2 linked regions of the Oryzias latipes genome follow. The protein of the gene in region 2 interacts with the protein of the main gene of each other region in a pairwise test. Links are inferred from orthologs where the notes say so. Each region holds a gene or a part of one and is shown on either strand. Other genes may lie near its edges.

What was found.
Region 1: the proteins of lrrk2 (region 2) and lrp6 interact in binary tests that used the Homo sapiens proteins (3 or more experiments, as listed by UniProt). The link is inferred for Oryzias latipes from reciprocal best matches to the Homo sapiens genes LRRK2 and LRP6.

Annotation. Positions count from the first base shown.
Region 1 is NC_019881.2:23,650,698-23,654,197, reverse strand, and holds part of lrp6 (low-density lipoprotein receptor-related protein 6), read left to right. Parts: intron 1-1,676; coding exon 1,677-1,874; intron 1,875-1,950; coding exon 1,951-2,147; intron 2,148-3,500. UniProt on the Homo sapiens protein: Component of the Wnt-Fzd-LRP5-LRP6 complex that triggers beta-catenin signaling through inducing aggregation of receptor-ligand complexes into ribosome-sized signalosomes.
Region 2 is NC_019864.2:2,156,222-2,159,721, reverse strand, and holds part of lrrk2 (leucine-rich repeat serine/threonine-protein kinase 2), read left to right. Parts: intron 1-1,913; coding exon 1,914-2,134; intron 2,135-2,209; coding exon 2,210-2,337; intron 2,338-2,418; coding exon 2,419-2,637; intron 2,638-2,719; coding exon 2,720-2,921; intron 2,922-3,500. UniProt on the Homo sapiens protein: Serine/threonine-protein kinase which phosphorylates a broad range of proteins involved in multiple processes such as neuronal plasticity, innate immunity, autophagy, and vesicle trafficking.

The DNA.
Region 1 (3,500 bases), on a different chromosome or scaffold from region 2:
GTACAATGAAATCATATGTTGTGTTTGAAATGTTCAAGGCAGACGTGGACCCGGCTCAGCCGCGGCGATGAATGCTTGGGGGGGCGGCACAAAGCGGCTTTGTTCTGCCGCGCTCTGCACGCCTGGACTCGGTCCAGGGCGCTGATGGTACGGTTCAGGGACCGGTCCAGAACCCAACCAGCAGCTGCTGGGAGGTGGTTGTCTCTGTGTGAGCGCTGCAGCAGCAGCTGGATCAGGACCACGGTTCTGACCCGCTTTAGCGAACCTTTCAGAAGGACTTTCGCTTTTCTATGGAGCAGATTTTATAACACTAAATCAATTCATTCAAGCTAACCGTCATCCGTGCTCCAGTTCCTGACCGAGTACCTGGTCTCTGCTCCTGCTCCTACACCTGGATGTGGATCCTGTCTCCGGCTCGACTCACACCCCCGACTGTCCCCCCAACTCCATCTGGATGAAGCTCGTCTGCTGGACTTTAAATATGTAGTTGTAGAGTTAGATAAGTTAATTCTGGTAAATCACCTGTCCGTCCTGGGGGAGGATCCCTCCTTCATGCGGACCCCCCTGAGGTTTCTTCCTTTTTCCAGAATCCGTTTTTTTAGGAGTTTTTCCTCACAGAGAGGGGGGGTCTAAGGGCAGGAATGTCCAGTTTAGTATTTTCCTATTGAATTCTTTGTATTCATGATCCTTTTGAGTTCATGTTTAACTTTTTCAATTACCGATACGAAACCATTGAGACGACTGTTGTTGTTGTGAATTTGGGCTAAACAAATAAAATTGAATTGACTAATGGAGAAAATAGAATTAAGTTTTGGATTCTGGAGCTACTTTTTTATGATTGAAGCTTACAGTCACAATCGTGTGACGTCGTTCCCAACCAACCAGCTGCTGTCACTCAGTCTCCTGCACAAGCACAGGCTCCTCCCCTTTTTTGAGGGGCTGTTCTATGACCTGATGATGGACGGTTCAGGCGCCCACCCCCTCCCAGAGTCACATGGCACCAGCCCATGTGTGTTTTGTAGTTTTTTGGGCTGAACCATTGAATGGACCGAGTGATTGTGACTTCGCCCGTAGAAAATTCAGATGCCACTTTTTAAATGATATGGATGCCGCCATGTTGGAGCCAGCAGTCGTCTGTAAGCAGTGCTGGGTCCTAGTTGGTCTGAGTCATCGTTTCTATGGCAACCATTCACACAAATCTGGAATGAGCTTGGTTTAAGGCCACACCCCTACCACTTGAAAGCGGGCTACATAAAATCTGTCAAATAATTTGGACATGGGGGGCCTGCAGGCCCCGCCTACTTTCGTTGAGGCATCTGGTTAATGAGGCTTGTGAAGAAGATGTTGAAAGAATGAAAAAGTTTATCCGATTCAGATGTTCTGTTTCTGATTTCAAATATTTAAATACTTTGGTTCTTATTTGATAAATTCTGTCTGAGCTTTGCTCATTTCCTCAACGTTCGCTGGAGTCCAGGATGATGAGTGGATGGGGTCGCCGTCAGGTTTGGGTTTGGTCCTGGTTTGGAAGAGTCTCAAAGCCTTAGATGGGTTCAGGACGCTCAGACCGGTGTCGTGGTTGGAGTTTGTTCTGCTGGGTTTTAAATGGCCAGTATTATGGTCAGACATCCCATAATACTGTTCTGGTCCCGTCCTCTGATGCTCCTCTGCTCCGTCAGGTTCATGTACTGGACAGACTGGGGGGAGGTCCCGAAGATCGAGCGGGCGGGGATGGACGGCACCAACCGCTCCATGATCATCCACAAAGACATCTACTGGCCCAACGGGCTGACGCTGGACTACAGCCAGCAGAAGCTGTACTGGGCAGACGCCAAGTTCAACTTCATCCACCGCTCCAACCTGGACGGATCCCACAGGTTCTGACCCCATCCCGACCCCCCACCCCACACTCTTCCACTGCTTGATTCAATTCCGTGTTCTTGCTCTTCACAGGGAGGTGGTGGTTAAAGACGAGCTTCCTCACCCCTTCGCCCTCACGCTGTACGAGTCCACGCTCTTCTGGACCGACTGGAACACCCACTCCATCCACTCTTGTACCAAGGAGACGGGGAGGGGCCAGCGCACCGTGCACTCCAACATCTTCTCCCCCATGGACATCCACGTGTTCAGCCCCCGGAGACAGCCCGTCTGTGAGTGACCTTTCACCGGCCCCGCCCCCCTATTTTCTGTTTCCTTTACATTACCTAGTGGGTTCTTGAGCAACGTTCTAGTGTCTGAAGGTTCATCCAGGTGACGTCGTCCTGAAGGTCAGTCCTGGCGCTCAGAGGTCACGTCTGACCTTCAGGTCTTCCACAAAGGTTATTGGATGATAAACGAGAATTTTTCCCGTTAAAGGTCACATTTCCCGCCGTGGGCCCCCACCTCCATACTAGTGATATTGTAATTTTGCACAGGTGTAACCAAAACAGGGCACAGACGTCACGTGAACAGAATGTGACACCCAGAGTAGCGGGGCTTCTGCTGGTGCTAATTTTGTGGGTTGATCTGTGCCCCCCATGTGTGAACGTTACGTCACTTCTTCTCTTCGCCAACATCGAGACAGTAAAGCCGCTTGAATCATCGGTAACATTTCCCAGCAGCTCTGTCCGAGCTGTTACCGGATACTAGGGCTGGGAATCACTGGGTGCCTCACGATACGATACTATCACGGCATGGTGATATTGTGATAATCGATATATATCGTCTCTAACAACTCACGATATATCAAACTTTAAGAAAGAAGAACTTCAAAAACTGTTTTTTGGAAAATATTTCCCCATTTATTTTTTAGTTTTTAAACACAATAATAATGAACAACTTGTGTCCTATTTGGTGTAATGAATAACAGACTTCTGTTTAACATTTCTGAAATCAGTAATACTCTGTCTTTGACAAAATGACAATTTTCATTTGGACATATCTGTAAAGTTTGGTTTAAACAATAGTTAACATGAACAGCAGCCATTATTTAGTACTAAACTACTGCAGTCAAGTAGCTGCCAGACACATTGGTACTAACTGTTGAAAAACAAAACCATGGCTATTATTTACAAAACTAGCTGTGAATCAGATATTCTGTGAACAAATTATAGTGTCTTTCTTAAAAATAAATGACACCATTTAGTGCAAATGTGGTGGAAACAAAAATAAAATTCTCCCAGAAAACAAAAATTCAAGTAGCTAGAAACTTTCCTTTAAGTTATATTAGACTTAAACTGCTTTCCAAATAAATGACCAGGAATAAAATCCATGAACTAAAGTGCATCTAAAAGTAAAACATCTTTGTGAACAACACGTGTCTGTGTCGGTATCCTCGTACGCTGGGGACCGAACTGCCATCAAACAAAACAGAAGAAGAAGAAAACGAGCACATGGTGGGGCAGGCCAGCCCTGGTAACTGCACATGTGCAGTAAGGACCGAGCCTGACTTTGTGACATTTTAGTTTCTGTTTCCTGGCCAACGCTGAGATTGCTAAGATCTGAGGAGAGGGTCTGTGAAATGC
Region 2 (3,500 bases):
GTATTTTCAATATTGCTTAATGTAGCTTCTCCAGTATTTCTAAACTGAATGATGCCTGAATGGTACTTCAAAAATAAAGGGGGGGGGGGGGGGGACACTAATTCTTTCCAGAAACAATGAAGTGATGATGATGAGGCAGCATGACAGGATGAAGGAGACGCTTTAATGTGGCTAAGAGGCTTTGTTTACATCACAGTCTGCTCTGCACCGCTGCAGCCACGCGTTCTTACACGCTGAAGTGAACTAGTAATGGTCATCGCCACGATGTTGTCCTTTTTTCACACATCACTCTGATCCATGAGGTCACTGAACCAGAATCCATTGCTGTGAGGTTCTGCAGAACTTTGGCCCGCTTTGCCGATAGCATTTTGGCCGATGCTCCGTGCATTAGAACCCGTTGTGCAGCTGCAGAGCTTCACTCGTTCTTATCTGAGCCGCTACATAGCACCACAATCCATGTTTTCATATGTTACTGGCAGAAACATGGCACAGAGTTTCGGTTCGGTACCCATTCTAAGTAAAAACTAAGTAGTGCATGTCTCATAAAAACAAAACAAGCTGCTCCTCGCTGAGATCGTGTAGTCTTGTGTGGTGTAGAGCTGCTCAAAGAGGCTCAGTGGGCTCTGCTACCAACTAGCGACAGAGGTTTAAGTGAAAAACAAGAGTCAGACGCTGAAGGATGCTCATAAATAATTAAATAAATATCGTCCTTATAGCATCAGGTGTCGCCAAATGAACTATTGCAATATATCACAGAAATTATTTTTTTCTAACACCTTTCCTGCACAAGCAGCCCTTTAGTGCTGTTAACAAGGTAAGTGTGCTTGTTGTGTGCAGCCTCACTGTTAGAAAAGAGGAAATTGGACATTAAGAATGTGTGTGCCCACATGCTATGGGCATGTAGGTATCACCTGTGCAGGATTTATGGTCGGCATGGAGAGAGTGCTTGCACTTCCCCAATGACTAGACTGTGGCATTGAGACGCTGTACGACAGCATCACCTACATGTCATAAGTGTGTGTAACTTACATTATTCTTACAAATACTTTTCAAAACACACTCCATACCCATACCAGGAGCATCTTCAGTGCCCTTACGATGCAGCTGCTCCACTCTACGACCCTCCACAAACCTGGACATTTCAAAAACCCGTTACAGTTCAACACCCGGACAGGTGCATTAAAAATAATGCTACATTCACACTTCACACCGGGCATGTGAGAACGCACTAAACGCACGTTCAGCATATGGCGTTCACACTGGAATGTCGCCATCTGATACTAGCACATGTAGTCACAGTTGGAAGAGGCTTTGTGTGAAATGTCAAAGCAGTGCCAATCTGGTGAATCTTGCTCCAGGCTTTTTCTTTCACAGCTCTATTCCGATGAATGAAAGACTCGCTGTCGTAGAATTCCAGCCGAACACAAACCACAATTATTAATTTCTCCTCCATGATCAATTTTGAAATGGTTGGTACTTCCGTGAATTAAAGGGGATGTCATCCAAACGACACTGCCAAATCCAAGATTGGTCAAAGTTTAGCCTGTTAACTTTCAATGCACGTTCAGTGTTTCAGATGTAGAGCCAGAAAATTGACTTAAAACCTTTGCAAGTTTTGAACTCAGAGACCTGAAACCGCCTCTATGCACGTTTACATAAGCTTTTCATTAAAGTGGTTGCCTGAATGCACGTTGCTGTGGGAGATATGACTGTAGCTTCAGTCTCAAGCTCCGCCTCCACTGAGCTAAAGGTTCATCTGAGTGCTGCACAACCTGAGCTGTGCCTCTCTAACCCAAACGTCCTCTCTGCTGGTGCATCATGTCTTGGTTAATGATAGATGTTTGGCCTCATGACATCTTGAACAGAATGCAGTGGAGTCAGATTTGCACCCCGTTTCTGGAATTGTTTTTCAGGTCCCTGCAGCAGCGACTAAAGAAGGCGGTGCCGTATCACAGAATGAAGCTCATAGTGGTGGGGAATCCCAGCAGCGGGAAGACCACGCTGATCCATCAACTGATGAAGCAGAAGCGCCAGTTGAACTCAAATCAGAATGCTGCAGGCATTAACGTCTTAGACTGGACCATCAAGGACCGGGATAAGAAGAAAATGGTGCTGAATGTTTGGGACTTCACAGGTTAGAAAACCTGCTCAAGTTGAGGGTAACTTTGCTTTGGAAGGCCAGTCAGGAGTCCCTTTCCATCCTTAACAGGGGGGGAAGAGTTCAGTGGCTCCCATCTTCACTTCCTCACTTCCAGGGCTGTCTACTTGGTGGTGTACAACCTCAGTAAAGGATCCAGTCAGGTGGATGCTCTCAAACCCTGGCTCTTCACTATTAAGGTACGGACAAAGTCAAGGTGCATGAATTTGGCTTGTTTTCCTTCAGGTCAGACACTCGCTGCTCTCGTCTGTTTACTTCAGGCGGTAGCACCGCTGTCTCCGGTCATCCTCGTGGGCACTCATGCAGACGTGAGCGATGAGCTGCACTTCCAGGACTGTCTGAAGAAAACCAGGGCAGAGCTGCTGAACCACCAGGGCTTTCCAGCAATCAGGGATCATCACATGGGCTACTTCTGTGAGGACTCCGACTCCATTGCCAATCTCCGCAAGGCTATCACAAGGGAGGTCACCAGCTTTAAGGTGGAGCAACGCAAACACAGGATGGAAGAGTTCAAATCACGTCTACCTCAACCCTGCTAATGTTTTCTGCTCTTTTTCACAGATCCAAGGCCAGCTTGTCATGGGCCAGCTGGTACCAGACAGCTATGTGGAGCTGGAGCGTAGAGTTCTTCTGGAGAGGACCAGAATCTCGCCAGAGTTCCCCGTCCTCAGGCGCTACCAGCTCCTCCAGCTCATCCAGGAGTGTCAGCTGCAGCTGGAGGAGGCGGAGCTTCCTCACGCCGTTCATTTCCTCAGTGAAGTCGGTCAGTAGGAGTGGAGCCTCGAAGATGCTCCTGCTTTGTCTGGAAATGATCCCTTCCTTTGCAAATACCCTTTTGGCACATTTACCAAAAGTCTACTTTTACGACCAGAAGTTAGCAATTGACTCGAATACAAATAAAGGTCAAGGGTGTGAGACACTCAAATTCGTATTATTAACCTCTTGTGTAAACCACTTCCATCATTACGTCACGTGTGTCTCATACTACCATCACACGGGGCTCGGAAACGCACGTTTGAGCGACTGATTCCAATGTGAAAGCATGCTTCAAACCCTCACTATTCAACAGTGCAACAGCTTTTCCTTTACCTTGCTCTTGTTCTGCTTGTTTATTCTATTTATTAAGAGTACCACAGTACCATTAACATTTTCAATACAACACATGTCCTCACATCTTAATGACTGGAAAGGAGCAGTGAGAAGAATGAAATTTCAGTTTTATTTCTGCCCCCGTATATTAAAGCTTACAGACCCATTCTGATGAAAATCTTTAGAAGTTCGTCTCTGAGTTGTGGGAGGGACCGTCAGCGTGGAGCAACCCCTTCCCCTGCTTCCCCTAACC